Linked DNA regions of Astyanax mexicanus. The protein of the gene in region 2 interacts with the protein of the main gene of each other region in a pairwise test. Links are inferred from orthologs where the notes say so. Each region holds a gene or a part of one and is shown on either strand. Other genes may lie near its edges.

Evidence for each region.
Region 1: the proteins of dmd (region 2) and ctnnal1 interact in binary tests that used the Homo sapiens proteins (3 or more experiments, as listed by UniProt). The two-hybrid records come from large-scale screens. The link is inferred for Astyanax mexicanus from reciprocal best matches to the Homo sapiens genes DMD and CTNNAL1.

The regions. Positions count from the first base shown.
Region 1 is NC_064410.1:47,340,457-47,357,288, reverse strand, and holds the start of ctnnal1 (alpha-catulin), read right to left. Parts: upstream 9,400-16,832; 5' UTR 8,981-9,399; coding exon 8,870-8,980; intron 8,728-8,869; exon of another isoform or gene 8,617-8,727; coding exon of another isoform or gene 8,557-8,616; intron 1-8,556. UniProt on the Homo sapiens protein: May modulate the Rho pathway signaling by providing a scaffold for the Lbc Rho guanine nucleotide exchange factor (ARHGEF1).
Region 2 is NC_064428.1:3,146,075-3,163,384, reverse strand, and holds the start of dmd (dystrophin), read right to left. Parts: upstream 8,384-17,310; 5' UTR 8,265-8,383; coding exon 8,180-8,264; intron 4,048-8,179; exon of another isoform or gene 4,029-4,047; intron 3,933-4,028; exon of another isoform or gene 3,913-3,932; intron 1-3,912. Other genes in the region: uncharacterized protein knl1, read right to left, coding at 10,986-11,079, 11,481-11,606, 12,825-12,946, 13,166-13,275, 13,833-13,895, 14,002-14,102, 15,260-15,364, 15,495-15,618 and 3 more. UniProt on the Homo sapiens protein: Anchors the extracellular matrix to the cytoskeleton via F-actin. Ligand for dystroglycan.

The DNA.
Region 1 (16,832 bases), on a different chromosome or scaffold from region 2:
TTTGTCCAGAGAGTTAGGCTATATCTCTGTGTCCCATATAATAATTTAACTGATTTAGTTATTTTAAATAAATCTTCAGAACTGGGCCCGGGCTCTTATGTGTTAATGTGACAATACCATCAAGACCTGTCCAAAGAGACCCTCCCCTCCCTCTTTCCAGAGTCCTGCAGTAATAGGGGTCCTAAAACATGCCAAAAAGAGAAAGCAAGAGAGTGTGTCACCATACCACAGTACTGATTAAGATCTCATCCTGCCCAATGACAGATTGAAGCCCCATGTAACACAAATACAGCTTGGAGATGTGCCAAGCTGTCACATGATCCAAGCAGAGAAAGCAACAAGTTACGCGGCTCCAATCAGTTCTACTGCAATGTGAAGCAGGAAACTCATGGCCTCAAGGCCAGTGAATCATGCTCAGAAATCCTTTACAATGGACACAATAGACTTGTTTTATGAGAGCTGGAGGAACAGCCTCGCCAAATCAAGGATAAGCTGGTGACAGATAAGCTGCTGAAAACACAGGTCTAAGCCAAGTTCCCACAAAAATGCACTGTACACCGCACTGATTTTTGACACCTGTATTCTATTCGGAGAACAAAGAGCCAACAGGTGTCTACCTGTAGGTATGTTGTGGTATAGATAGTGTAGATAGGGTAGACCATGCTGTAAGATAGTGGTGGGTGTACCTGGTAAAACACAGCTTTCCCTGTGAAAACATGAGGGTTAGCTTTCCCAGATATGCAAACATACCAGCATACATCTAGAAGAATACTTGTGTAATGTAAATCAAATAATTACTCCAAAATGCTGATTTTACAAAAGAAAGAAAATCTTCTTAATTATTAATGGAAGTCAAGGTAAAAAAAATATTCCACGCATAAAATTGATAAAATTGAAGAAAAAAAAAAAAAACAGCCAGATTCTCTTTAAGTGAGAAACACAATCCTCCCTTCAATTCCACAAGCTACATCTGTTTCAACAGAAGTAAAATGCAAAATATGCATTCATTCATTTGTTTTTAATTCTGACATTTCAGAGGCATTCTAAGTAAGAAAGCTAAGCATGTGCGCATTCAGAGTTCTCAGCAGAGACCCTCTGAGACAGCATCCTCACTAATCACTTTAGCTGACTTTTATTAGATATGAACGGCCATAAATCTATACAAATGTAATATAAAACACTGAAATAACTTGCAGAGTCGTCTGCTCTGATGATGGAGATTTAAGCTTTTTCGCTTGCTATGGAATTTAAAATTTAAAATCAGCAGTGAAATGAATACTTGGCATATTGCTGGGCAAAGATTTTAACAGAAGTATATCTACATAAATTTACTTCTGTATTATCCGTATTACTAGTCTCAGCAAATTAGAACGGCAGAAAGTGTATGGCAAAAATATTATGGAACCTGCATGTATGTTGGATGTAACATGTATAGCAATTCTCTAGTTGCTGAATGTCATCAAATACCAGAAAATGCCAGATGAACTTATTTAGCAAATAATGCAAGAAAATTACATAAATTTATTATTAAATAAAGGTACAAATATTAAATTCTATGTCATTTTGGAGCATTGCTATTAGTTTCTTCATTGTGAAATTGTGAAACAATGTATAAAACTGCCTGACTAATACACTGACTGAAAAGTTAAAAACAGGTAAAATAGGTCATTTATTGGGGCCAGATAAAAGTGGAAAAGTGGTAACCATGCTGTTTTGTCACTGTCCACAGAAAAGCATGCATTTCTTAAATGCAAAACTTTACAGGAGAAAAAAAAATCCTAATTTTGAACGTAAATCAGTGTAAAAAATAAAAGATCTAAATATTTTACAGTATTTTTATTGGTCAATTCACAACACAATTTTGACACAATGTAAAGGAGAGTTGTTGTGTTCAAATGATGTAATAAACTAAAAATTTCCCTTTTATCCCGCACTATCCTCTCAGCAACTTTGGCCAGATAAAAATACCAATACCAAAGTGTTTTTTAACTGCAATGGGGAGTGGAGCATTCTCATTGTACTGTGAATCAGTGAAGAAATGGCAACAGATCCACATCTGCGAGTGGCTTTATTGCCTTTTATAAAGACACAAAGTGATAACTGCTCTCTTGGCAGCTGCTGAGAAGTAATATTTGGAGAGGAGGAGGCTGTCGTTCAATGACCAGAACACAAATTCCACCGCGCAAAAGCAAAATGAAGTAATAAACTAAGAAAATTTGCTAATGCTGCTTTTGTGTGCAGACATGAATAACATAGTGCTTGAAAGCTAATCTGCAAAATTCACACATATACAATGCTGACTTTACTTACGGCCTGCTCCTCTGATCCACACAGTCTCAAGGGTGATGTAACTCATTGTCTGATTAAAAACGAATGTCTCATTATACAACATTATTCTTTGTCAGACTCTTTTTGGTGTGAGCTTCAAGTAAAATGCAGCTTAGATGGTCCTGGTTGAGTTGTAATCAGTTATAAATCTTATCAGCTCTGGCTTTGGCCTTCATACCTCCACCGGTTAAGCAAATATAATGCAGTAGAGACATGCACACACAGGAAAGCGCACACACACACACACAGCTCACAGCCCACATTTATACACACTATACATGACGGCTGTGTTGTTCTAGCACCGGAAGGTATCTGGCCCTGTAATCCCTTGTGGTTTACACAAAGATGAGATTCTTCATCATCACCATCGCCTAAGGAGGCACACTGTTTATCCTATCTGCTCTCCGTCCATTGATTACTGCAATCGTGCCATGAGATTTCTTCTGTAATAAAGTGCTATGGATAATTAATATGCTGCGCACTAATGCAAAGACCTTCTATCTCAAATACAAAGAAAAAAAACTAAACTTTCAAAGGAAGTCAATGCAAAAATATTTAGCTTTTTTTTTTATTTAATTTTTTGTAGGTTTATTCATCACAAAATTTGGACTCACTGATTATGCCAGACGTTATGGGATAGCAGTTTGTATACTGGGAACAGTGTGCTTGAAAAAGTGAAAAACAGGTGCATATCATTAAACTATCAAGAGCCAAGAGAGGACTAAATAATGCTTTAGACTAAAATTGTACTTTACAAATACTTCTGCTTTCTGGACAGCCAAGACTATGCATGAATAATGATATGGTATAGTATATGATATGGCAGACTCTGCACTTAAGTGAACACTCACACACAAACACAAACAAACAAACAAACAAACAAACAAACACTCACACACACACTCACACACACACACACTCACACACACACTCACACACACACTCACACACACACTCACACACTCACACACACACACACTCACACACACACTCACACACACACTCACACACACACACACTCACACACTCACACACTCACACACACACTCACACACACACTCACACACACACTCACACACACACTCACACACACACTCACACACACACTCACACACACACTCACACACACACTCACACACACACTCACACACACACACACACAACTTCCCCACTTTTACAACCCTAATTAATCAATTGATGGCACAAAACGAACAAAATCATAAGGACTCAACATAACAAAGTGAGACAGAGAAAGGATATTCAGCCCAATTATAGCTGCAAATCTTTTCAGGAAAACGGTGCTTAGCCTGGCAGAAAAAAAGACAGAGCCAGCACAAATATGTAATAACAAGCCGTTCTTGTCATAGGCATTCAAAATCTGACTGATCACATCAAAGCCTCTGCAGAATTTTTATAAGTACTATCCTGACTCAAGTTACAAGATCACACCCCACAATGATGTACAATTATTAACACATCAGCCAGGTCTAGTTAGTTTTATCATGCGGTTGTAGTAGTGTTGGGTTTGGGAAATTTGTTATTTTAATAAGTTATCTAATATATTTCATACACAGCGAACTACAAAGGGCTGCCAGTTTATTAGGTAGACCTACTTAATAAACTGCTCTTTCTGCCATTATCTGTTTTCAGATGCACCTACCGTATACATTTAGAGATGCTGATGACCAGATTAAAATTTTCTTTTTGGTCAGGGTCAGGACCATCCAGGCATATTTTAATATAACATCTATTTAAAGCTGACTCTTATTTTGACATGGTCTGTTTCATTGCCTGTCTGTTAGCTTCAAATTAGTGACCTTTTTGACATATTCTGTTTATTCATTTGAATTACTGACTTTTATTTTGACATGATCTGATTATGATTTAACAGCTGACATCACTTTTATTCTGTAACACAATAAAATTGTATTGGTTGACACCTGTATATATATAGTCCCACGTGTCCACATGGGACTCCTAGACCTCACACTAATATATTTCTGCTCTTCATTCACACACCAGAGTGATGTCATTGCGCATGTATGGACATGCTGGATGTGTTTCCTTAAGGCTTTCCTACAAGAAACTATCAAAAATTAGCCTAGCATTCTAACACATAAGAACATTCTACATCATCTGTCACTGATTAAGTTCATTACAGAAAGGGCAAAACACCTGCCAACATCAGTGCTTGATTGCATACACCACGGGTGGTGGCTTTTTCAGAATCATGTATTGCCCAAAATTATATTGTAAGTAATATAACAAAAATATATTGTGTTAAAACTTTTGGCCATATTGTCCAGCTGTATACATCATACCCAAAATGAAGGTTATCAGATTAGATTGTGGTCCAGAACAACTAGATCAGAGTGTCCCTTATGAATCAATATGTTCAAAAATTGACAGAATAAAATTTCCTAGGTCATGAAATTTGGTATCTAAACCACAAAGGCCTTCATATTTTTTTCCCTATACAGCCACAGTCTAGCACAGATGTGTCACCTAAGCAGACATGCAGGTAGAAAGGTTCTCTGAGGTCTTGGAGTCTAAAGACAGTTATTACACAGCTGTGGGAGTGATCACATGATCACACAAAAGATCACATAGATGTGCAGCCCCACAGCCCTCCCTTCAAGTCAAAAAACACTCTTAATAGTGCCTTTTCTCACTTCATTTCCTCCCTGTAAATCAGCCCAACTCCCTCCCACAACCCTCCGCTGACCTCTCACACTCACACTTGCATTTGCACACATTATTTACTCCAATATGTTCACTGCCAGGGATGAAATCACTACTGTTGACGGATATTTGCTGCAGGGCGGTTTTCAGGCGCAAAGCCACTGGCTGAAGAAAACATCAATTATGAAGAAAAGAAAAACAATTCTTTTGCTCAGCGCTGGGTATTTGTCATTCAGCACATGCACTTTTAACCCAAGAGCAGTGTTTCACAAAAAGCATACACAAACAAACAGCTACGTCAGTTCTGTTTGCCTCCAAGCTGCCTCAACTTCTGTTTACTACTGTTGAAATGTAGAGGTTTTGAGGGCTTCTGTGCAACACTATATACACACAGATTCAGAAGGAATCAGCATAAAGATGATCTCTTAATCAGCATCAGGCTTACCTCTTTATACTCCATCATTCTTTTTTAATGGTTTATAAATACCAAGCACTCATCTCCCTGTTTCTACACTCACTTTGCATCTTATCAGCTCCACTTATCTTACAGGAGCACCTTGTAGGTATATAAATACAAACTGTACTCCATCTTTTTCTTTTCATACTTACAAACCCAATTTTCACCCTGTTCTTCAATCATCAGGACCCACAGGACAACCACAGAGCAGGCCTTATTTGAATGCTGGGTCATTATTCTCAGCACTGCAGTGACACAGGCATGGTGGTGGTGTGTTAGTAGTGTCTGTTGTGCTGTTACAGGTAGATCAGGCACAGCAGTGCTGCTGGAGTTCTCAAACACCTAAGTATCACTGTTGGACTGAGAATACTCCAACAACCAGAAATATCCAGCAAATAGAGTCCTGTGGACGACGTCCTGTGATCACTGATTAAGGAATACAGGATGACCAACACAAACTGTGCATCAACAGGTGAACTCCTGTCTCTGACTTTACTTTATCTACAAAAGTGATTTATCTAGGTAGGTGTGTTTAATAGAGTGGTCAGTAAGTTGACACTGTTTAAAAACTCTAGCAGCACTGCTATGTATAAAGTACCAGCAGCACACACCACTATGTCAGTGTCACTGCAGTGCTGATAATGAGCCACCACCCAAATAAGAGCGACTCTGTGGTGGTCCTGAGAGTAAAAGAAGGATAATAAGAGTAAAAGGAGTATAATAAAGTATGCAGAAACATAGAAGGACTACAGTCTACAACTTGCTTCTATATGCTCAGTGGAGCTGATAAAATGGAAAGTGAGTGTAGAAACAATCAGGTGGTTTAAATAAAAGGCGGTTGGTCTGTGCATATTTTTAGCTCTCAACATTGAAGGCCTTCAATGGAAATAAGCTCAATGAAACAGACCAGGAGAAAGGGGGAGGGTTATCACTGGGATGCCTTGGGCCACCTATTGTGCGAACCCTATGAGACACTGAAAGGGTCCTGCATCTCTCAGGGGGACACTGAATAGACCATAAGCGAGTCTCCTATCACTGACCTTTCAGCCTCATTACCATCAATGGTGGTCATGATCTTTATGGTGACCCACAGCTCACCAGTCACAGTGTTTAAGATACAGTGTGCCAGCAGCCTTAAATGTTAAATATTATTTTTTAGCAGGGTTAAGTTACAGCATATTGTTCAGCACTGGTAGAAATGCAGCCTTGCCTCTTAATTTAACACACAAGGTGGATTTAACACACAAGGTGAAGTGTTCCAGTCCAGATTATTGTTTCAATTAGGCACAGTCTTTTAAATAAAATGATTTAATATAATGTTAATATTAGATTTTTGGGGGCAAAACCAAAATTAAACAAGTTTTTTTTTATAACTGCATGCATAAAATAGCCTAAATGAATATTTGTTCAGCTTTTAAATGAAAAGGCAAATACAAAACTACAATTTAACCACAAAAAGTGTGCACATACATGTGTAATTCAGTTCGACTTAAAAAAAAAAAGCAAAAAGTAAAAACAGCCTGATCATGTATAATGTAATACAACAGTTGTGTACATAAACTAGCATTTATGTCAACAGTTTAAAAAAATGGGTATACAGGGTTTACAGGTCTTTCAACCCATTGTTTCTCAACCCTAGGGCTGGAGGCCTACTGCTCTACACATTTTGGTGCTTTCTTGCTTTAAAACACACACTCAATTCAATATTTGACTGATAATAAAATGATTAGGTGGAACATGATCTATACTGATATAGGGATGATTTATATTCATGTAATCTATTTATTCACTTTTCTGCCGATTTCCACCATGAAACACACAAACACACACTGTTTTTAATATTATAATTAAACTCAGTAACTGAGATTTCCATTTTAAAAAGCATCAAAACTACCCTGATATATTATAATACTTTAATACATTATTGTCCCCTTCCCAAAAGTAGTTTAAATACCAGCATTTACATGTAATGTAATCACCATTTTATCCATGATTTAGTTACAGGGATTAAGGGATTGGCACCAATAATATAAATCTATATGTGCATGGCACTGATTATTTACATTTACACAATTATGGAAAGCTTAGTCTTAAGTAAGAAAAAGTGTGAATAATGGTGATTAATAACTACCGATTTCTACTGTGATTATTATTATTTTTTTAACCCTCCTGTTATGTTACGGGTCAAACTGACACATTTTTTCTTATTATTTATTCTTTCGGATAATTAAACATGCACTGGGCCAAATTGACCCAGGAACACCATTGCTGTTCCTAAACAATAAGGAGGGTTAATCAAACACCGCTACTAAAAACACCTTGCAGGTTTCTACTGCTGGATGAGAAGTCTCACAGTAGAGCACAGTAAAACACAAACACACAAACACAATTAGTTAGATTAAGATATGTTAAGTTTGCTGAGGTTTACTGAGTCAAAAATAAAAACCAGAAGCAGGGCTAGCCCTTTAAAATATTATGAATTAAGGTCTGATACACCTTAACACCAGCAGGTATCTGAGTTTCAACAAACTACTAGCAAGCTAGTTAGTTATATATACAGCTCTGGAAAAAAAAGTTAAAAAAAACACTTTAGTTTCTGTATCATTTTCTCTGATTTTGCTACTTATAGGTATATGTTTAAGTAAAATAACATTGATGTTTTATTTTATAAACCACTGACAACATTTCTCCCAAATTCCAAATAAAAACATTGCAAATAATGCAAAGAAAACAAGTTCATATGTATAAAGTTTTAAGAGTTAAGAAATCAATATTTGGTGGAATAACCCTGGTATTTATTTACACTTTTCATTCATCTTGGTGTGTTCTCCTCCACCAGTCGTACACTGTTTTTGATCATTTTATGACACTCCTGGTGCAGAAATTCTAACAGTTTGTTGGTCCTCTTAACTATATTCCAGAGGGATTCAATTGGTAAAATCAAAGAAACCCAAAGAAAAACATTTTAAGTGGGCTCTTATTTTTCCAGAGGTGTAGCTACTCAATGAGATACTTATTAATTAAATGGGAATTTAGTTGTTTGATAGGTTAGGCTGTTATCAAAACCATAAATATACATAGTTACTTACTTTCCAGAAGGATGTTCTCCTTTCACCACGTTTTATAAACTCAAAACACTCCCAAAACATAAATATAAGAGCTAGGTTAACTGACAGCGCTGGGTAATTATGGAAAATTCCTCACATTTTCTGCCCCTTTTTCATGTTTATATCACACAGTAAGGCTAGCTAGTTAGGTAGTTTAGGTAGTTAGGTAGTTGTGTAGGCAGGCAGCCCCGCTGAGAGCGGGCTGGAGCTGCTGCCTAGCGACCAACATGTTCCCACACAGCCGGAGAAGAAGAAGAAGTACGGGGCAAGTTTCCCGAGGCTTTAGGAGACTCACCTGAGACACCAGCGGGATGAGTGTTTGCTCCACAGACCGAGTTTTGATTTCAAGTCCGCAGTCAAAGTTACTGCCACCACTGTTGCTGCTGCTACAGGGAGACGAAGCCATTCCCGCCCAGCTCTCTCTCTCTCTCTCTCTCAGCGTGTTTCTCCTGCTAATGGAAACCGCGCCGCCGAGTGAGTTTGTTGTGGTTCGTTACCTGACTGGAGGAAGAAGAAGATTCACTAAAACAGAGCGGGTTTGTTCTTTGTTTCTCGCTAAAATAGAAACAACACTCCTCCCTCCCCAGCTTTCGGTTCCGCCGAGTAATAATTCCCGTAATTCCCTCCGGAGTAGCCCACAGCGCGTGTTTAATCCGCGGGTATTCAGAGCCGCCGTCTCCCCCCGGCTGACTGACTGCCTTCAGCCATGGAGTTTACCCAACTACAGCGGCTACAGCTCTGAAGCAGGCGCGCGGGCGAGCCAGAGACTGGGCAGGCTGTACGGGACAGACTGTAACACACACACACACACACACACACACACATTCTAGTTAGTTTGCGTTTGCGTGTGTGTGTGTGTGTGTGTGTGTGTGGTGGTAGTGGGAGGGCACGGCTAACAGTTCACAGTAAGCACAGTAAGAGGTCTGCTAGCTTAACACTTATAGTTTGTTTAGCTACACGTTATAAAATAATGTTTTTTTAAAATTAACTCTAAAGCTAAATTATAAGGTATGGTAAGGTGACTGGACAGAGAAGTTACCAAAAAAGTTTTTTTTTTTTTTTCAAATCAACGGTGAGCAATCTGGCCCTACAATAACGTTACAGTGTTTAAATGTATTATTAATAAATTAATTAATTTATGCCACTTCGACCAATACATGTTATAAAATATAATAAAACTTATTTCGGTTAAGGGACAATACGTTCAAACATTCAGTAGAAACACTAATAAATCAGTAAACTTTTGTCTATTTTATAAACAACGCTAACTCACCTACATTCTGGGTTTACACATAATATAATAATTATAATAAGAAGAACAACATTTAATGCATGTAACGTTATACAAAATGAACCATTAAAGCTTTCCAGTAAATACAAAAAAAAGACTGTTTCAAGTCACTTTACTACTTACAATATTGTTTTCTTTAAATCATTTACAAAATTTTACTGATATGATAGGGCACATACATATCACCAAACAGTATTTTAGCCAGTCATGCAACACCAGACCAATGATTGTGGACTGCAGTAGGATAAGAAAATTGTATATTTCACAATCTGTGATTAATTACAATTTAAAAGTGTATAGTTGTTTTGTTACGCAATCTTATTATCATTATGTCAGTGATATTGTTTAAATCTAAAATGACAATTATATTGTTTATCGCAATCATTTTGGGTCCATATAATGTCCACAAAAAATGTTATCGTGATAGACCTAGTTGTACTTCGGATTAATATTAATGCTTTAGCTTTATTTATGCAGCACAGTTTACTTAATATGTTTATTTATATTATTATACATATTTTTTTAACATTGTCTTGAATTATCCTAATTTGTTAATATTTTTTAACATTTAATTTTTATTTGCTTCTTCTTGGTCAAGGTAGCGGTGGGTTTGGATCCAAGCCGACATCATGAGGTGCAAGACTGTAATATCTCCTGGACAAGCCACAAGTCCATTGAAGGGTACTACACACAGCCATTAACTCACGCACTCACACCTAAGGGATAATTTAGTATAGCTAATTCGCCTACCATACATATTTTGGTGGCTGGTGAAAAGCCAGGGCTTAAGCACCACCATGGTTAATTGTTTTCAATTCTAAATAATTTTCATTTAAGCATTGATATGTTGGACATGGCCCAACAGAGACTTCATGCAGAGTTTACATTATATTATATTCTACACCAGTGGTTCCCAAATTGGGGGCTAACCAGACGCTGCAAGTCACAATCATTACCACGCAGTCTGCTGTCTACTATGGATGTTAATGCTGTCTATGATATATTTCCGGTATACACCTGACACGGTAGTTTGAGAAATGTTAAATATCCACACAATTTCAGAAATATAATGTTATGGCCTCGCTCGAACAACGATCATTCACATTGACTTGCCATGAGCAAGGTGACCAGTGTTCAGCCTGACCTTATAAAAGCTTATACAGATATCGGTGTTTCCAAGCCATCCCCTGTAATAACGCTTCTTAAAATGTTTACATACTACTCTTCTGTTACACATGTTGCTTTTTACTTCTTACTCAAAGGCACTGTATTAATTGAAAAAGCCTTCCAGTAGTTTTTATTACGTGTTTTAGTGTTAATGAGGTTCTGGGTGTGCGACATCCTGTGTGAGCATTATCTGCTCCATAATATGTTTTTAGTGTTCACCTGGTAAAGCTGATAATCTCCACAATGCAGGAAAGACTGCTGACCAGAGACAACTATCTTGCGACAAGTGACATTTTTCCACAGCGTAGTCTCTGTGTTCCCACAGTAAAACATACTACTCGGGGGGTGTGAGTTTCATGAGTCATGAGTATCAGGTGACATGTGAACACTTCCCCTGATCAGGTCGACTGAAGCCGTGGCCAAGTAAACTCAGCCGTGGAGCCACACCAGACTGGCGGGACCTGAGTGCGGTTGGTTTCAGTCCAGCACAAGCACTGAGGTTTACCGCTCTGCTTAGACTGCTCACATTAATATCAGATATTTCCTCCAATTGTGTTTAAGGCGCACTCCAGCCGACCAAAAGAAATCCGATCTGACCATAAAGGCTTTATGACTGAGGATCTTACTACATCCCACCCAGGGTGCTTTCCAGAGAAATCACCCGCATTTACAATTTTAATGCTGACTGTGTTCATTTGCTGTTAATACTTGATGTATTTATTTTGTTACTTATCTTTTTCAGTGAAGTTTCCTCCTACTTTGCTGATGAGTTTGTGCTTTTATTTGACTTTTACAGCTGCCATGCACAGCAGGGACCTCATTTTTTTGCACATGGATCTTGCAATTTAAATATATAGAGGGTAAGTAGAATGTGTTTCCAACAGATTGTTCATTTTTTAAAGAAATGCTGATGATGTTTTGCCCTCCTTGAGTTTCCCTTGGCTGCTCAGCTCCAGGAGGGGAAGCTGTGTGCAGAATGTAAAGCTCATAAATAGCGGGAGTTAGCATACGGAAAAAAGTGTAGTATAAGCACATTCATTTCCCCGAAGAACCGGGAACAGATTTATGGGATATGCGTTTAACTGGAAAGTCTGATCCAGGGTGTGTAATTCCCTTTTCAGCTTACAGTTACTGATCGGTTGTCAGGTAGACTAAAAGCATAGTTGGGCAATATGCTTTGGGAATTTTGTATGTGATGTGATAGTGAATGCCCTAAATATATTAAGTTTAAAACTTAATTGCTTATTAATTTCTAACTGCTTAGCTTAGCTCTTGACCAACATAGGGCATATTTTTGTTTGAGTTTGATGGTATATCTAGTCTATCAATATGACCAGCCTGATCTGGCAATTTAAATAGTGTGTCCAGTCTTGTTGAGGTGCATGTCTAAGTTTGTTTGAGAACGTGATCATTATGACCAATCTGGTTGTCCAGCATTGCCAGCATGATGCTGGTGGTTGACCAGTATGTTTATTTTTAACAAATTGGCCAACAAGCTTCACTAAGTTATGCAACAAGTACAATGTGAAATTTGACCTGCCTGTCCATCCAACTTAAATTAACAAATTTCTGCTCAAGTTCTAAGATGATGTTTTCTCCTGATGACCAGCTTAGATCATGTAGACATATTTTACATGTAGTAACTCAAAAATGAAGGACAACACACACAGTAATATGGAATTTGGAAAATAAATTGGACACCCTCACATTTGTAATGATTTACTTCCTTTGTACATTTTGTAAAGTTCCAATTGAGATGCAGGTTGTTTGGAATAACAGCTATGTACTTTTTCATTATTAGTATGGCTTCTTGACTTCTATTTGTCATTTTAAGTATTTTCTTTTTATATAAAAGCACAGGTGTAGGCTTTATCTGAACTGCATTTGCATTAGCTTGTATTCTTCTAGCTCCCTGGTGATGATTATTAACTATAGTCTATAAGTCTATGCTGATTTTGAGCCCTCTAGTGGCCAGAGCCCATAGGTACATGTTCGGGAGGCTCATTTGTTAATCTGTCCCTGAAAAAAGAGTCAAGATATAAGTGCTTGTGTTCTGTCAAGAAAGATAACACAAAACCCCAGTGGTGGATCTCAGATCTCAGCTGACCAGCTGATCCATTATTAAACAGGATCATCTTGTAGTTCTGTAATTACAGACTGTAGTCTATATGTTTCTCTGCATACATTGTTAACCCCCCTTTACTTGTATATGTAAAGTCGTAGACAAAAGCTCATCTTTTGCTTCACAGTTGGTCTTGTGTTGGTCATCCTCCTATCCACCAGCAGTCACACTATATTGTTTAACAACTCCAGCAGCACTGCTGTGTCTGATCCATTCATTGTACAAGCTAAAAAACACACACTAACACACCACCACCATGACTGCAGTGCTGAGAATGATCCACCATCCAAATAATACCTGCTCTGTGGATGTCCTGATAATATAGTGCAGGGAAACAGAAAAACTACAGTCCTTGATTATAGAACTACAAAGTGCTTCTGTATAATAAGTAAAGCCGATAAGATGGACAGTGAGTGTAAAAACAAGGAGGTGTTCATAATATTCTGACTGAACTGTGTAAATATTAATATTTAATATATTATTTATTATATATTATTTAATATTTCCCATACTGTGCCTAGTGTAATGTGGAATGAATGCAGATACGTAAAATACAGATGCATTCTTCTTAATACTTAAATTTCCCAATTTTTTTTTTTTCACAATTTCACTGCATCCTCTGGATATATAGTAAATTTGAGAATAGTACAGGCAAACATCTTTCAAATTAGATCAGAGACAGGACCTAAAGTTCAGTTCATTCTTAGCAATGGATGAATTGCATTTCTTTGCTGTACAAATGCCTCTATAAATCATCTGTCCTGAAGCATCCAGTAGTATTAAATGGGTTTGGTGCAGAGATCGACTCTTCTTAATTTGATTCACAACCACTAAGCTTTAGAAACCCTGATTCAGTCGAACTGGGACTTGGTCAGTGTCAGCAGCAGGTGACAGAATGGAAACTGTAGCACGTTGCCAAGATTTCGTTTTTTTACTTTTCCCAACACCATATAACCGTCAACACCTAAATCTTACACACACACACACACACACACACACACACACACACACACACACACACAGTCAATCACATTCACAAACGCTAAATATTTGCACACCCATTAGCACTTTCCCTGCTTCTCACAGTAAGACACTCGAGCTTGAGTGGAGGGAGTGTGTGAAAACATGACATGACTGCAATGTGCTCATAGTGTCCTCTCTCTCTCTCTCTCTCTCTCTCTCTTTCTCTCTCATTTTTTTCTTTCTTTTTCTGAATATGGAATTTGACCTGTCATTGCTGGTAATTATATGTACCAACTACCCCATCTGTCTGAACAGTGGAGATAATTAGGTTATTGTTTCTGAGGCAGAAGAAATCCTGTGGCTACATGAGACAGAATGAGAGTAGATAAACCCAGAAACGGATCACTGGCTGATGCTGGCGTGCTTGACAGTGTTGGAGCTCTCTGGGCTTTTTTAAGCACAGCGAATGAGCTGGAACACACCAAGCATTTATCACACCACATTGTAAAAGGCCTCACACCCTGTTGCACAAGCCTCTAACCTCCACAGCGAGTGTGGATATGCCCCCAAGAAACGTGACCAAGTGCAGAGAGCCATTATCAGCTTACACAAACACGAGTTTGTTGCTAATGTTTGTGTTACGTTGTTGAGGGCATTAAAGAAATGATTGTATAATATAAATATTCCAGCCTAAAGCAAATGACAGATATGTGCTCATGAATTTAAAGAACAAGTTGGTGAAGGTTTAATTAATAGGATTATTTACTCAAGATTTAGTTGGCTCTCCAAGGTGTTTGAGATCTGAAGCTTCTGGATGTGCTAGGCTAACAAATACTGAAATGGTCATGAATCTCTGTAAATATGTCCACAATTGTCTCTCTTAACAGACTCAAAACACATCCAGGTCTTTATTTGTTTCATGCAGACAAATCATGCAGTTTAGATAAAAAGTATTCCTTATGTATGACTATGGTCTAGAAAAGCAAAATTTGTGACTGGAACAATTTTGTGTATTGTTCTTTAACTTTCATGGGATATGATACTAACATATTTTTATCCCATGATATGTGGAATGTTAGTGTACATGCTTGTTACACATCAATGTTGTCTCACATAATCATTTTATCTCTATTTTATATTACAAATAATGTCCCCAAACATTTGGGCGTAACAATATGTTAATATTAAATATACAGTATGTATAGTATTTTGTTTACATGGTAATATTTAATATCTTTATACTGCCATATATCAGATGCCATATATCAGCAGCAAAAATAGTATGCTGCTTTATTTGGTCTTGTTTGCCCTTTGTTTTCATAGCCACGTCTTCTTGGTTCTGCAGTTTTTCCGCAGTGAAAGAAGTCACTGTCCTGTTGTCAGAATCTGAATTGTTTATGTGACAGTCTCTATTTTTTTCCTAAAGTAAAGATAATAATCCGTCAGATTGTGCCCTGGGCTTTCTCCGGCCCTTTGTCATTAATCATCTCATCTTAAAGGCTCAGACACAACAGCAGCTTCTTCCTCACCATCCTGTCACACGGCTGAACAGAAACCACTTGTGACAAAAACTGTCACTAAGCCACTAAAATCAGTGACCGCTGGTTCTGTTTGGGATGCTGTTGTCTTCTGTGTGGCAGCCCAGCTGAGGTCAGCTACAGTAACAGCATGAGAACAGAGAGACTAAACAGTCTAAACTAATGCACATCAGAAATATGATGGTAGATGATGTGATTTTTGTCTAAAAGCCCTACAGGACTACATTTTTGTGTCATATTGGGTAATAAGGAAAGGCTAAAGAGATTATATTAGCTTTGAAGTCTCCCAAGCTCTTTGTATCTGTGTGTGTGTGTATGGTTTGTATGATTGCTGTGAATAGTGACAATTTCTAACTAGCTCTAGTTCAAAATGACAGCTGTTGCAAATCACAGAGGAACACTTTATCTGTCGCATGAAACACACGCTCCCAGATGTCAGAAAATAGCACGACTCATGCAGCTGCTGTCAAACATTATTAGCGCAAGGCTCTTTGATGCCATTATTTTTTGCTCGTCAACACACTTTTGTTGTCTGCTATGAAACAGCCAGACCCATGCTTTTGTTTCTGATGTATTAGATGTGAGATTTGATATGAAATGATCCAGATGAGCCAGATGCCACAGGCAGGTTAAATGTCTAGCTCCATCTACTGGATCTCCAGGCTGGATACTGTATATCTCAAATGCATAGTTATCTTTAGAATAGCAGTATAAGAGCCAACCTGTCTCATAGGCAGTATAGGCATATGCTAGTGGCACTGTCCATCCATAGGAGGCCAGGGCGTCACCAAGAAAAAAATGAAAAACTTTTATTGTAAACTGTATTTCTACTAATTCTATTTTTTTTTTAAAAGCCCATCCTGTCATTCTGTCAGATGCAACATTAGTAGCTACTGTTCATTCATTTAATAAATAACTGCTAGCTAACAATCATCTCTATATCATTTGTAACGCCTACCCTAAATTCATTAATAAAACTAGGAAAGACCATTCAGGTATAATAACATAACATACATCTGTCGTCCCCTCAGAATTAAACACACTGCCTGCACAAAGCTTCCACTATCTGCCTGAAGAAACTGGACAAATGTTAGCCTTTCTTATATTAGTCAATCAAAATGATATTCCTGTAGTTATTAATACATATTAATTGCTTTTGATACAGTATGTAGTATGT
Region 2 (17,310 bases):
TCTACACTCTTATGCTTTCTCTCTGATTTGGGGCTGTTTATTTTTACACTGTCATGTAAAAGTTTGAGAACTCTGTATGGCTTTTTGTAACTATGAGGGAGTAAATACAAACAACTACAAACAACAATTTTACAGTGAAAAAGAAAGGAGCAAAGTTGGAGTAAAATGTAATTAATGTAATCTAGTTCAAACAAAGCATAAGTGTATAAATAATTGTGTTTGCACTGATGTGTGCTGAACTATTCACAATCAATATTACAGAATATTACAGAATTTATAAATAATGATACATTTTTTTCATATTCTTCCACATACGGGCTGTTTTTTATATTTTCACTGGTCTAATTTATTATAAAGGAAGACTAGAATTCAGTAATAGGGGAGAGAAATCTGAAAATCTGTGCTTAAGGTAAAAGCTTTCAATTTATGATAGAAAATTGTAATTATAAGAACTGACAGATTAATTTGAGAGAGATTTGTGGGATGAAAATTGCTTTGGACAGTTAATTTCCACAGAGCTTCTTTTATACTTTCTTCACTTGGTGTTATAGATGGCCAAGTATTGTTTAAAGAAATAGACTGGCCTATTTTTGTATGTTGTATACAAAAGTTATCACACTAATAAAACAAACTATTAATGGATATGATAAAATGTACACTGCACTGACCGAGTTGTTTGCAGTAGATCTCTGTATTCCACTGCATGTTCTTTGAAATGAGAAAATCAAGATGATACTGAATCATATATGTCTTTTATAATTCAAGTGGTCATCTCTTTAAGAAATACTGGCATTTACAAATCCTCTGTATTTCTAGAGGAAAAAAATTACAATAATTTGATTCCATGTGTGTTATGTTCCCTTGTCATTTCATAATTAATTATGCAGATAAAATTTTGGCCTTGATTTCTAATTTATGTATATATATATATTTATATATATATATAGAAATTATATTATATATATGCAGTCCAAAGAAGTGTTGAGAGGACTAAAAGAGAACATCTTTAAGCTTTAAAAAAACACAACAAAACAAGCATATTGAAAGAGAATATAATATACTAATATACTATTTATTTCTTTAAAAAAGCTCATTCACAATATCTATTCAAGCCAAGAACACTATTGAGGACATGCGATCATGAATTTAAAAGAGGGTGTAAACCACTGGTAACACACAAGAACAAAAGGTGAGGTGGTGTGCAGAAACAAACAGAACTGACTTTAAGTAAAACAAATGATGTTTCATGCATCTGCATGCTGCTGAACTGTAGTAACTCCTAATGTGAATGTAACACGTGGTAATGGGTGAGGATTTTCCCACTCTTTCCAAACTTAAAGCATTAAAAAAAGATTTTATTTTAACAAACCAGAAGCGCTTGGAATGTAGGACACAAGAAACAGCATTTAAACAACATAACTGCAGTTCAACAGTGGAACAAAAAACCTGATACTTCTTTGTTTTCAGTATTAGTCATTTTTACTAGTTGTTTTGAATGATTTACAATTACAATTTCTCCAAATTGCTAAAACTTCCACTAATACAAAATACCACCAGTGCTGGGTGGTTGAAGACTAGCACATGGTACAATCAAGGCATGTGAAGTTCACCAATGACACCTTTCAAACAGATGCTAACCCAACATAGCTGAACAACTGTTCCAGTTCTTCAGTTCCATTACTATACTCCTATACTACTATACTACTATGTGATGGGGAGAGAGGCAGGGCTGCGTTATGCCGACCTTACATCAAATGATTTCCAAGTGATTTCATTGTCGCAGACAAATTTCCAGAGTTGGGATAAAATCACAAGAGTCTTGCTCGAGTCGAGTTGTGGTCGTGTCATCTCGATGGTTCAGTGTAAGGTGGGTAGGATTTAAAGTTTTACTCAGTCTTTTTCTCATTCTGGCGTTCAGATAAAATCAACAGTGTTTAATATTATTGCTCACGCAAATAGTGACGTGAACAATGTCAACAACCAATAGAAAAGAGAGCTACGGGAAGACGCAATATTTTTTTCTATGACAGTTTACAAACAATTAAAAAAACGTATTTTGCTATTAATATGCCTAATATGGTCCTTTTTATTTTTGATACAAACAATTTAATAAATACACATTTTGCAAGAATTATGTTCATTATTGCATTAATTCTATCTAAAACAAAGGCAAATATATAGCAGTGAAACTGTAATTGTTTGCAATAAAAGAGGAATAGAAGCTTATAGACAGAGTTTAACACAAAAAGTATTCTATTACAAAATATCAAGAACATAAATATAAACTGTTAATGGGGACAAAAGTTGTGAGTCTGATAAATCACAGTATTAATATACACATTATTTGTAACTTAATATGTAATATATATTGTATGGAAAGAATCTAGTTTCAGTCTTGCAGTTAGTGATCCCCAGTCTTTACTAAATCTTAGTCTGTTAGTAAAAAGTCTGTGACGAGTCTTTAGATGTGAGAGAGTGTCAGACTTTAGTCTGTTAAAAGTCTTTTCAGAGTATTTTCAAAGTCGTGTAGTGTATGCCCAGCTTTACTCATATTTAAATATTTTGTCTTTAAAGGTAGATTATGTTGGACTAATAATAAAAAAATGAAACGACTGATTTTAGAACAGCAGAGCATGCTACTACTGAATGTAGTTGCGTGAAACGTTTCATGTACATACAATATATAATGGCAGATAATATGACAGTTAGCAGTTGCACTTTTTGCTAAATCATTTTATGCCTGACTTTAATAGAAAAAATGCTCGTCAAAACCACTATTAGGCAACACCAACATACACAAAACACTTAAACCAACTAACAACAATAGCATCACACACAAGCTGCGGACTAATTTAAGAATGTTTTAAAGTCTTAAAATATCGTTGTTTACCGTATTTTTCGGTACGAATGATGAAGCGTTGCTCTATGAAGACCTTTTTCAGAAAGCTCGTATCAGGTTCAGGAGGATAGTTTGTTTGGAATCTAATTCAGAATCTGGTTCCGCCCATCAGTGGAGAGGAGAGGCGGGCAGTGCCTCAGTATAAAACAGCGTTTCTGCTTGTCAGACAGACGGAGCGGTGCGACAGACAGGCTGGAGCCTGAGCGCAGGTCTGACTGCTCAGACGCGTGACTGGAGGCAGGTGGCAGCTGCGTCTGCGCCACAGCAGCGTGTAGCTCGGTGGATTATAGCCGCCCTTGTGCAAATAGGATGAGGAGGTAACTAGGTTGAGCCGCGGCTAAACGGACAGAGACCTCGGTGGGATGTGGAGGCGCTGCTGGCCTCAGTTACTTAATCTTCCTGTAGAAACAAAACAGACCAACAAGCAGCTCCTCAACCCCACAGAGCCGCTATAAACACTGTGCTGCTGCTGCTGCTGCTGCTGCTCAGACCCATACTCCACCATGTGCTCGGGAAAGAGGAAGCCTGTGTTAATCAGCCTCTTATTCTAAACATTATTTCCAAACACACTGCCTGAGCCCGATATTAAGCTGCGCGTGTGCGCTTATGAACTGTATGATGATGCTGATCAAGGGTCACAAAATATGTCGCGAAACTTTGTGAACCAGAACCCAGTAAAACCCGGGCGCGGGTTTATCGTGCTCTAAAGCGGTAATGATTTGATCTGATCTGAGGGTCGAGCTCGGTAAAAAGTCGGTCTGATCTGAGAGATCCGCCAGATCCAGACACGCGCCCGAATGGATACAGCGCTATTATTAAATATCGTGCGATCTAGCAGCGGCGCGTGACCGACAGCGCGACTCGATAATAAATGCGTCAGTGCAGGTTTCTGTGGCGAAGAGCAGAATAATCGCAGCTCCTGATCACATGGATCAACACCAGCCTACCTCCACCCCCCCCCCCCCCCCCCTCTCTCTCTCTCTCCATGTTCCCCTGCCTGTGTTTAGTCTTACCCGCACGCGCAAGGCTCTGTGTCGGTATGGAGGAATCTCTCCTGCTCTGGTGATCAGGTGTTTCTGGAGCAGACGGGTTCTGGGTAAGGGGGCGCTGTGAGTGAGCGGAGAGTTACCTGTAGTGAAGACGCTGCTGCTGCATGTTTACTCCTCTCAGCGCGTGCTGAACTCCATCACACAACTCTATACTGAACCCTCCCCTCTCACTCCTCACCCTGATCCCTCTCTCTCTCTCTCTCTCTCTCTCTCTCTCTCTCAGACTCCACACCTCCCCTCTCACTCCTCACCCTGATCCCTCTCTCTCTCTCTCTCTCTCTCTGACTCCACACCTCCCCTCTCACTCCTCACCCTGCTCTCTCTCTCTCTCTCTCTCTCTCTCTCTCTCTCTCTCTCTCTCTCTCTATCTCTCTCAGACTCCACACCTCCCCTCTCACTCCTCACCCTGATCCCTCTCTCTCTCTCTCTCTCTCTCAGACTCCACACCTCCCCTCTCACTCCTCACCCTGATCTCTCTCTCTCTCTCTCTCTCTCTCTGACTCCACACCTCCCCTATCACCCTGATCCCACTCTCTCATTCACTCACTCAACACCTCCTCTCTCAATACCTCACCCTGATCCCTCTCTCTCTCTCTCTCTCTCTCTCTCTCTCTCTCTCTCTCTCTCTATCTCTCTCTCAGACTCCACACCTCACCTCTCACACCTCTACCTGATCACTCTCTCTCTCTCTCTCTCTCTCAGCCTCCACACCTCTTCTCTCACACCTCACCCTGATCTCCCTCTCTCATTCACTCAGACTCTCAGCATCTGCCTCCACACCTCCCCTCTCACACCTTCCCTCTCAACCCTCTTATCCTCTTCTTCCACAGTGACTCCCCTTCCTGCCAAGTAGCACAGCCAGTTCTGAACTGCTGTACAGAAAGGGGGCAGCTGGAGAGACAGCAGATGGCCTATAGGCTATAGTTAGAATCTTCAGCCAGAAATAACACAGCACCTATAACTGATTTATCAATAACATTCACTTTCACTACAACACAACAGGCCCCTGAACAGTACTCACTCTGATCAAAGCTACTCTGCACGCTTTAACACATTTCACAAATCACTAATTGTGGTGTAAACATGGTGATAGTGATAACAGCCAGGGGTCGCAATATGTCTGCACTGCAAACAGAGAAGTGGTTCTGTTTCAATAGCCATAAATACATGTTGGACAATTCTGCTTAATAAACATGTGAATAAGTAATTTAGGTTTTTCTCTTACTTTTTTACAATCGCAACATGAACACATAATACTGTAAATTAAATAGAAGCATGTATTTGAAATCATTCAGTGAACATATATAAAGACAGGAATCTTAGACTGACACCATCTGCGTTTCCTTTACAGAATAAGATGGTTAATATGTCGATGCATGGACAGCTACATATATTAAAACCACCTCTTCACACCACCTAACTTTGGGCATCCACTCTGAACATACAATTTCTGTCTAAAGGACAACATAACGAATAGACGTCATGTGCTGTGAGTTTAAACACTACCTAATTGCCTATCCACTATATGAATTTTAAATCTCCAGTTTCATTCCCCAACACTAATTTTACCCCAAGGTTGCCAGTTTTAGGAACACAACACCGGCAAAGCAGACGACATGGAATCTAGCAAGCAAGCAAGCAGTCTGATTTAGCCCAAATCTTATCTGCTACACAGCCGTAAGCCTTGGCATTCATCCACTTAGGGAGCAAAGATGGAATAAAATGAGAGTAAATATTGGCAGTGAGTTGGACAGATGGAGAAGTCTTCCAGCTCAGAAAGAGTAAATATAGTTGCTGAGCTGCTACTTTTCTCCTGAACAGGTAGCTGAGCTACTTTAGCCAGGTCATTTATCACAATCTCTAGGTTAGCTTATTTGGGATGGTCACTTTAATTATTTAACAAAAAATGTGTTTTTGCATTTATATCACTCTGTGTGCAGCTGGGAGAATAAGGCATGGGGTAATTGAGGCATTACTGGTGAGGATAGCTAGGTTAGCTAAAGTGATGTGGACTATGCCGGCTAACGCAGTCATGCTACACAAGCTAACATGAACTGCAGTCAGTGGAGGAGCAGATGCCTTGTATCAGATTACTATCTGATTATCTGATCAGTGATGAGTACACCGATAATATAAACATTTCTTATGTCCAAAAATACTCCATTCTCAGCAGCTAGCGTTAGCTATTTATCTGTTTATCTCCAGTCCTCACTGACTACACTTACAGGGGTCTGTACAGTAGAAACTCGAAGGTGTGTATTTTTGGAGCAGTGGGCCCTTTCCGGTATAATGGACTTGGCTTAGGCTAAGAAAGCTAGCGGCGTATAAAGCTAGCTAGTTAACTGCACGCGTTCCAGTAGGTTTAGTGCCCTGAGCTTGGAAACCTGAGTCAGCTTTAGTGCTTTGGCAGAAAAGATGAGGAGACAACTATTGTTCTGTCTACACTGTGTTTATGTGCACCATGGTCCTTGGAGGAACGTTGTTTCGTTTCACTCTGTATATAGCTGAAATGACAATAAAAACCACTTTGACTTGACTTTGACATAACATTAACATTGATTTAATGTTGAAATGCCAGCTGGGGTTACACACAGTAAAACATGTTCACAGGAAGAATGGGAAAAAATACCTCCTAAATTATGACTGGACTCTTTTGTACATATGGATGTATATTTCTTGGTGAGAGATTGTGACTCAGTGTCACACTTGAAGACAATTCTTCCCAGTTGACAGACTTTAAAAGGGGGCACATCATTGCAGAGAAAGAAGGAAGAAGGATGTTTTTGTCAGCTATTCATCACTTTTATTCATGATAGTGTTGTAAAAGAGAAATCTCAGACTGGAACTATATTGTCTTTAGCAATAAATCCAGGTTCTGTTTTGGGATCCAACAACAGTCAGGTTTGAATATAGAGTTTTGGATAAGGATTTTAATCCTGACTTTCCTGTGGAGTGACACACTGCTGTGATGATCTGGGGATCCATTGCATACAACAGCTGGTCACCTCTAGTAGTGGTGCGGGGAACACGAACAGCTCAGCGACTTGTGAACAACTCATTGCAGGACTTCCAACTGGCAGGATAATTCTTGACCACACACAGAATTCCCAGGACTGTCCAGATATATCGCCAATTAGAAGTCCAACAGGGTAATATAGTCTCTATACTTTTCTACAGTTTCACCCAATAAACTTATCTTTCACTCTACATACATAGATAGATACATCTATACATAGATCATCATTACATTCACACATCAGAATAAATAACAGTACATACAATCAGCATTCAATAAATGGCAATTAAACATAGAAATATTTACTGTGATTATTTTGGTAAAGATTATATATATATATATATATATATATATATATATATATATATATATATATATATATATACACACACACAGTATAAGCGAATGTAAAAGTTGGGTTGTCTTTTTTAATAATCTAAACAGATTATTTAATGTGGTAACAAGCAATTGAACTGGAATGATTTAACTGTAATAAATACTTTGAATGAAGCATTACTTCATTCAGTATAAAGATAGATTTAAAAAGCACAGGCACGCCCTAGCATGAGCAATAAAAGAGGAACGTAGGATGGATACGGACAGCAACAGGGTAGAGTTGCAAACCTCCAGAGCCAAACTGTCGCATACAACTTGAGAAATGCTCTAAATTAACTGGACACTCAATGCCAAAGCATGCCACAGTGTGACTAACAATAGACCACCCACATTCTGCAGAGCTTCTTCACATGCACTCACACAGCAGCAGAAGAGCTGCGTTCTTCAGCAGTTATAGACTCTGAGAATCTTGGTAAAAGTGTTAAATTAGTAGTTTAAATGTCTTTATGCTGCTAGCTAACAACAATATACTAGCTCAAACAAGGCCACTAGTAATCTTACACCAGGCAGCTGCTGCTATTTTAAGTTCTTTAAGACCATATTTCATCGGGGGAGTAAATATAGCCCACTCTGTGTCTAAGCTGGATTCAGGGAGGGTCACAAGCCAAATGATTATTACACAAATATGTTCATTTCAAAGGTTTTACAAAAACAAAGACTTATAGAACCATAATGAGCAGACGCATCAACTAAAATAAAGTTAATAACAATGACTTACACGTCAACATGCATACATAAAAAAAGTTAATTCCACAGAATGTTTATTTTCTGAAATCCTATTTGCCTCGCTACACGCTACAGTGAGTTTGGTTCTCTTACCTGATCGACTCTTTATGATTTCTCCAAATTCATCTTCAGAAGCCTCCACTTCCCACTGGTCCTCCGAGTACCCGGCTTCAGCCATGGCAGAAAATGTGATGTGTATCAAAATCAAACAGTCAGTGCCTGATACCACAGAGATGTAGTAGGTGAAGTGTGGGCTGGATGCAGGGTAGTGAGTAAATGCTAGTGCTGTAAGGACTGAACTGTTATGATTCAGGGGAAGCAAACTGTCAGGAGGCCCAGAAGAGCAGGAACAGGTGGCAGAGTCTTCTCATCTCAAAATAGAGCTTACAGACGGTCTGCGTCACCGTGGACTGCATCACAAACATACGCCGGGTCTATTTAGGATTAATTAATCTAAGTATTGATTACAACTTTTAAATGTTTCCTTTGAATTTTAGGTAGAGTGTCAAATATTCCTGTAGTTAATTCGTAAATAGTGAATAAGAATGTTCCTATTGGGTTGGAGAGTCCTCTTGCTTGCTTGAAGGGCAGTTATACACACTGATCATAGTTTATATAATCCAATCAGAGGCTGTGGTGATTGGATCTGGACAAAAAAGGCAGTGCAATTAAAATTCATTTTTAAGCTCATCTAACCATATAGAAGCACTTTATAGTTCTATAATTACAGCATGTAGTCCTTTTTTTCTCTGCAAAATATGAATTGCCCTGTTCTTCAATAATCAGGACCTTACAGGAGCAAGAATCACATTAGAGTGAATTAGCTAAAAGGTCAAAAGAAGTTTCTGGACCTGGATGTACAATGGGCAGCAGTTCACATAAACTCATGCACATTACAGTGATGATTATTGTTTAAAACCTTTTATTCTCAGGGCAGAAACAAATATTCCTGAAGCTGATCTGACCTTAAGAACAGACCAAATAATTTTGATGTGACTGAAATCAGGATTCTGAGAAGGTAAACTATAATGCTGCATTATTTGTCCCCTCCCTGCTGTCCTGTGTCAAAGATTCAACTGTCTGGCTGATGGTTTGAGGTTATAAAGAAATCTTCATTACTCTGTTCAGGTTATGTAATGAACTAGTGCCCGCTGGCAACAAAGCAGCCCCATAGTATGATACTACTCCACAATGCTTAACAGTTGGCCTAGTGTCCCAATATTATTGTGGCTGAACAACTTGATTTTTGCATCACAATCTTTTCCTCTAGGAAGCTTGTTCTTCGTCTATTTGTTTTAATTTTTTTATTTAACTGTACACAGTGACACTGGTGTTGCAGAAGCATCTTGGGCTACTGTGGAATCTGTTCCTTTACCCAAATTAATAACTCATTTTAATAGAACACACTTTCCACTGATCCTGACATTATCACCTGCTTTCTGGGACCAGGTCTGCTTTTCACTGACAGACAGATTCTATTATCAGATCTGGTGAATTAGATTTCTTAAACTGAATTTCAGTAACTGGTTGATTTAGTAGCTAAAAGGACAATTACTTGTTCACATGGATGATCTGGATTTTGAATTGATGTTTATCTGTTAACAAATGTAATGATCATTTCAGGGCTGCATCGTGTTTATTTGTATTGTCTTTATATTATATTCAAATTAGTTGGATGATCTACATTTAAATTATTCGTACAAAGAAGAAACATTTCTTCATACTGTATGTAAACACCCATATGTACATGATCATAGTTAGTTATTTACAGGCTAACTAACCATTAAAACATTTTGCTATTTAAGCAACTAAATATTCACCCAGTCCATATACCTACACGGAAATGGATTTGTCTATTAAAGTATAAAATAATTTTCCTATTTCATACGGATAACTTTAGCTGAGCAAATTACAGAGATTTCTCTTATGGAACAATTGGTCTGAACTTGAAATTGCCTCACTCACTGTCCCAATGTACTTTTTGGTTATGTGTACAACTTCCATATTTTGTAGCCAGTTACAGACTTGGTTTTATAGCTTTAAACTTTCATTTCTCACAATAATATGCATTAACATGACCAATTCAAGAACCATGACTAAAACTGACAGCAAAAATACATTTATTAGACAGTTTCCACATACAGCAACTATCATTGAACAGTATATACATGACCAAGTTGTGTGTAAATATGACTGAAGTGGAAGAAAGTCACATCAATGTCAAAAATAACCAGCGTGTTTTAACATTTGCGTGTGTAAATGAATTTCTTGTGAGCACAAATGTGAAACTCGCGCGCAAAGGAATTGTGTTCACGCTGAACAGAATATCACTCTCAAGCTTCATTTTTCTCCTCTAGGGTTTTTCTTTCATCTCGAAATCAGTTCTCCTGTGGCTGCAGTTTGTGCGCGGGTGATTTTTTCGCCCCTTGACTTTTGAAAGGGGTGGTTTTGACAGTTTGGGGGCGGAGTCAGGATCACCTCCCTCAGCGAACACTATTGGCTGATATCTCCTGGGGTTTGTGAAGGACCGCCTACCTCCCAGAGCCTGAGGAGGGTGGAGAAAGAAGGACAGCAGGAGAGTTAGCTAGCTGCCTATGCTATCATCCAAACAACCCTTCGCTCACAAACTGCTGCCACAGGAGAACGGTGACTTCGAGACGAAGAAAGAGAGAGAAAAAAAAAACACCTGAGAGGATTAAAAATGAAGCTTGAGAGCAATATTTTATTCACTGCGCACACAATTCACTTTTTTTGCTTGCAAGTTTCACATTTGCGCTCACAAGAAGTTAAATTACACACGCAAGTGTTAAAAAATGCTGGTTAAAATTTTTATTCATCTGTTTTTTTTTGCACTTTTCATTGCTCATTAAACAAAAAATTGCAGGTCACACAAGTCCTTTTACAGAAGATCAGCATGAATCTTCTTTATGAGGTTAGTCAGATAATTCTTTGCCGGCGTAACAGAGCACAAGACATCTTCAATCTGGTCAACTCTGTGAAAAAAGAAAGAAAAAAAAACTGAGTACAATAAGCTTTTAAACAAGGACAAGAGAAATGATGCTTACTCAATGTGCATCATATTTCCTCAAGTGATGTATAGATAAAGCGTCAGGATATTATGCACTTCTCCATCTTGTTTCCAGAATGCTGTATGCTGTTTTAAGACGCATTTTATGATGTTTATCTATCCCCATATTTTGCTAAGCCCAGAAAAGTGATGCGTGACAATCTGAAGCCACTCTTTGAATCTATGAAAGTCTGGCAAGACCATCCCCCAAGATTCATTCCTGTCGACGGAATCCTTCTGAATGCATCTAGTTTTGACAATGAATGTATACTGAATAGTAACTGCAAAACACCCTTCATTTAAAACCAAACAAATAAAATACCATACCTTGTTTTCCCAATGAGATTTTGAAACTTCTGCATTTGAAGGGGATTCAAGGGATAGTCTGGAGTTACAGTCAGACTTAGCTCAAATTTGGCACAGGCCTTGATACTGGAGAAAACAATCTCAACTCTAGGAAAGAGAGAAAAAAAGATATTACACCTCACATTTCAGTATCAAATAATAATAACCTCATATTGTTAAAAGGGGTTTATTTTTATTCGGTTATACAAAAGGAATTCCAGTTGCGAGAGGATACTGAAGAAAGAGAAGCTAGCATAACTCCGTTGGTAGAGTGGTTCCACATAAGAGTTTCCACACCAGTAATATTTGTTGTGAGAATGTGATTAGACAGGTGCCATTTAACCGAATTTATTACTCTGAATATTAATAGAGCTATGAACAAAGGGCGTCTATAGTGTTGCTTCATGCCAAGTTCTTATATTACTGAACATGGTGAGTGCAGTGCTCCCCTCTCACAGCATGGAATATATTGTTTTCAGTGGGAAGGCAGCACACTCTTCAGCATTTAGTGTGAAAGAAGCTTCACACTACACAAATACGCATGCTGGTCTGAAACAGGACCTTTCTCTCTTTATTTTACTATCCCTGCCCCAGACCACTCTGAGTCACTGTGGTTTGTTGTGATGCATTTTGCTGTACTTGCGTTTTTTATTGTGTGAAACTAAATCCGACCAAGTAAACAAACTTGTTAATGGATTCTGACCAGAGAAACCAACCACAGGTGTGAAAGGAAAGTGTTTCTGCTTTACATTTAAAGACAAATTCTGTTGAGTTTTATGAGGCTCAATTAATCAATATTAACTGACATACAACTGGTCAGGTGTGACATCGAGACATGCCACTTTTTGGATTGAAGCAGATCATATTGAGAAAATAATTTTATTTTGACTTCATATTTACAAACTAAAAGTGTTGCTAAAAAAGCCTTGACTGAGTGTACAAAATGATGCTTTTATTATCTGTTTAATTTCTTTAAGATGGTAAAGGTCTCATTTTATCATTAATTCTGTGTTGGATTTGGGTGGAGGAATGGGTGGGGAAGAAACACAGGATTTTTTCTCTTACTCATGAATATCCATGATATGCAAATGTCACTTAGGGCACTGCGACAATCCTTTCACAGCACTGCAGTGGGCGGGGCCATAAAATCTCGTTTTCTTTTATTGGTTAATTCAGGTAGAAGCACAGTTTCACATGCAGCATGCAGACACAACTCAGTGACCTACTGTATTTCAAAGAAGCAAAAACTAACTGCTTTCTAGTGAAATCACCTTTAAGAAGTCTGACAGATGATAAGTGTATGTTTGAATACAGGATTTGACTTACAGTGTATCCGAACAATTGAAGTGTAGGATGTCAAATCTCAATCCTCCCCATTTCTTCAACTGGTGGATTTCTTCACCTAGAAGTCGAAGTCTGCTCACCACCAAGCTGACATTATGGAGTAACTATTGTGGAAAAATTACATATACATTCAGATTATTCCAAAAATTACCATTGACTTTGTTAAATGTGTTAAGCATCGTATTAATTATATATCATTTTCCTATTTTTGCATCATTAATGGTATTACATAAAGATAATTCCTTTAAAAAACTGATAATTCCGTTAAATTCTTAGAGGGGATAATGCCCACCCATACAGCTCAACCAAAACATTAGACATACCACTGGTATGTGTCGTGTGGTTGGGTACTTCTGAGTCCACGTAGGTTGGGCTTTAATGTGCTCTGCAAGCAACACATGAACCATGCGGGCATGAGGCTGCGATGCGTCACCTAATGGAAATAAAAATAAAAACATGCTAGAGTTTTTTTTTTAAATAATAGCTGTGTAATATTTTTGGGAATACTATATTGATTTTCAGTATAGCAGAAAAATAAAACCATGAACACTAGACAGCAGTGCTTTACTCTTGTTAAACCTCACTGTTCTGCAGATTTTATAAATATGAATAGTGATTTTATACATTTATATATCTAAAATCAGATTTAAACAACCACAACACACTGCCATGATTACAGAACCACAATATATCATCACATACTAAATCATAAGCACTATCATGAGATGCATCGTTTTGCCAACCCGCAGTCTTAACCGACAAAGATAAAAAATTATTTTATTCTTACACACAAAGGTTCATCACCGGAATAGTGCCTGCATAAACAGGTATTGTCCACTCTCTACAAGCAAACTGATTAAGCTGGGTAGCATTCTCTGCAGAGGTCCTTTATTGTAAGCTAAATACAGTGAAGGGGTAGTAAATACTTTACTTAACACAAATATTCTCCCCCCAAAAAATCATTTCCTTAATTCATCAAAATTCTCTTACCATTCAATAAAAACCTGAATGATAGATCCACATCCTGTTCAACATCACAGATCCATCCCCTTTCTTAAAGAAAAAAGAAAAGGATTTCATATTATTTACTGTGACATTTAATGTATTTGAAACACTAATAATTTAATAAATAATTAGAGAGGTATCCATTAAGACGTACCACCAGGGTTTTTCAATTTTACTTCCATTTCAACAGTATTGTGAAGAAAGCTGAAAACAGCCGTGTTTTCCTCACGCTCACAAAACTGCCACTCATTCAAACTAAAAAAGAAAGCATGATTAAGCTTGTTTATTGTAAATAAATAATATTTAATATAGTAATTGAAGCCCAACACCTCCACATGCTTACAGGACAGTACCTGAAAATAGCGCCCCCTGTAATAAATGCTGCGGGTTCTCTATTCCAGTCAGACTTTAAATCAGTAAGCTAACTTGTATATGGAATTTGGAAACGGTAAAATCCAATGCACAAAAAATAAAAACTAAATTGTATTTACTGTCTGTATAGGTCTTAAATCAGAATTTATTTAAGACCTATGGAAGAAGGAGATACATATAACTTTTTAAAATACTTTTTAAGACAGAAAACTATTCTAATATAGTGTGAAAATTACAGTATGTTAATGCTGTATGTTTACATATAGACGGACGAAAAATTTAATCCTTTAATTTTCCCAAAAAAATTCAGTGAACCTTATATATAATTTTATCAGTCAGGTATTAAGGAGCAGTAAAGTCACTCCACTGAAGTACAGAGTTATACAGGAGATTCAGTTTAGTTCTCCAGCACCCAGACTGGAGCAGCATTAGCATTAGCCGCTAACCACGCTAAGCATTTGCTCTTCTGCCATTTAGAAGTGAGTATAATCTGCCTGTAGCCTGCTGCTACTGTTATCTTGTTAGTTCACTTATATGACAGTGTGTATTATTAAGAGCGCAGTCATTACGCTGAGCTACCAGTTTATTAGGTACTTCGCAGATACTTAACTATAATTATTAGTATTGTCACAACTACACTTCTATAGACGTAATTCACAAGTAGCAAGATACACCCAACTGTACTGTCTAGTGGTTAATAAATGATAAAGCTCAAGTAATAAAAGGTACAAATAATGTAAGCAATACATCCTGTGTTTGACAAATCAAACATCACAATGATTTAAGACCTAAAATAAATTATGCCCCAAATACAAATTCATAGAAGATAAATGCAATAATACACACTGCAATAAAATCTTTGTAACCTGAGAGGATCAATAAATAAAGAAATATACATCAGATGGTTTAATTAATAAAAGCACCTACATTTTTAAAACCACATATTAGTGCTGTAACACCACCCCAAACAAAAGATGTACAATCATGTATTTTAGGCCCATTATGTTTTGAGAATGTTTATTTATATGTATGTGTATTACCTGTTCAGAGTTCTGATACGGTTTTCAAATTCTTTGACGACTTCTTGCAGGTTCCCCAAAAGGCTCTCAGAAGAAACCCGCTGACGTTCTAGGTCACAAATTAGTCTGGAACGGGGGGGTTGGCAGAGTGTAAGCAAAATCTTGTACAGTTGTGCACCATGAGCATATTTTGAAGTTTAAAGGTTCTATTCATCAACTATAATTCACATAACAATTCTTAACAGTTTATACGTACTTTTCTGTCTCTACAACATCTGAATTAAGAACATCAAGCTCCCGTTTCTTTGCTTTTAAAGCCGACTCATCTTCACTTAGGGAATGTTGATCGCCCGTCAGTATACTGCTCACTGATTCCAGTTCTACATGAAAACAAATCCATAATTTAAATGATTGCAAATGATAAATACAAGTAAAAGTAATTATAATATTTGTGTCAATAGATATCTACGAATCTATACCAGATTCCAGGTCAATAATGCATCCATCTAGGTCTTTCAAAATTTCATTGGTCTTTGAGATTTTATCCACCAACTTCTGTTTTGACTCCTACAAAAATAAAACATTTAAAATCATTTAAATGTATAAAAACCTCCCACAAAATAAAGTGCAATGGTGATTAGTGCATTGTGAAAACGTTCGTCATTCCCTCCTGTGAGTATCTGTACAGATCAAGTGCTCCTAACTCCTCATCGTGATCAAGGTGATGATCCTAAAATCTGACCTGCTATAAATTAACGGAATGTTCTGAACACATGCTTTTACTGTATCAACTTAATAAGCAATCCGTTTGTAATAAGTCTTAATTTATTTATATATATATATATAAATCATATATATTACTTTTTCACAAGTTGGGTAATGATTACAGCATGACCAACATAACCTTACCTGAGTCGTTTTACAGAGTTCAGAGTACAAGGCTTCCTTTATCTCATGAGAAAGTGCCTTGCTTCTCTTTCTGAAGTTTCCCCTTCGCTCTTTCAGCTTTCCACCAAATTTCTGTAGCTGTAGAATATGTAGAAAAAAAAACATAGCTACTTATTTTCCTCTTAGTGCCTAAATGATAAATGTCTCAATTTAGTTTTCTGTGTTAAATTCTGATTGTTTAAAAAAATCAAATAAATATTATTTTTGAATTCTATTTTTAGAATTATACCCATATTTAACAGACATTTTAACAGGCCCAAAGACTTACCTGGACACCTGAGAAGGCGCACACATCTTGTAGAACTGCTGCATTGACATCTTTTAGTGCTTTATCTTGTTCTGTCATCTGCATTTTAAACCTAAAACAGATCATAATTTACGGATTTAAAATGCTCCCTAAACACACAATTTCACTTTAACAGTAGTATTCACTAATACTGTTAGAGCTGCTTTACTTGTTGTGGTTCAAGCATAGCCTTGGGCTAAACATGAATGTGCCAAAGATGAATCAATCATCATCAGTGTAAACCCTTTCCTAGTTTAAGCCAAGATTTAGGTTACTTTCACACCTACCTTGTTTGGTCCAAACCTTCTGATTTTTTTTCAGTTTGGTCTGAACCAAATGGCGGGTGTGAAATGTGTTCCAGACCACAATCTGGACCAAAGGACCAAGATTTCATCTCACCCAAAGAGGTAGTTTTGGTCTAAAATCAACTCAACCATGGTTTGAAACATGCAATGTGAAAACAGTATTTCAGGATGGGTTAGACCGCGGCCAGTCCAAACCATCAAACAACAGAATGAGAGAAGGAACAGTTATGACTCTTATTTGCGATACGCTCATGTTAACTATATCTATACTGCGTGTACTACTGTAGATGAACATTACTGATAAACGGTCTGACCAAAACGAACCAGTCCAAAAGCAACACATCAAGACTTAAAAAGGAACACACATACATTATGATTTCCTTCACATTAAATCTGAAACTGTTGGATGATGAGGTTAATTAAATGTTTTTATATAAAATCAGGCCATGAAGGTTTCACTACATTAAAAATCGAATCCATTTTTTCTGTCTAAAAGACCTTTAATCTGAGTTGAGGAAACTGTCACTTAAACA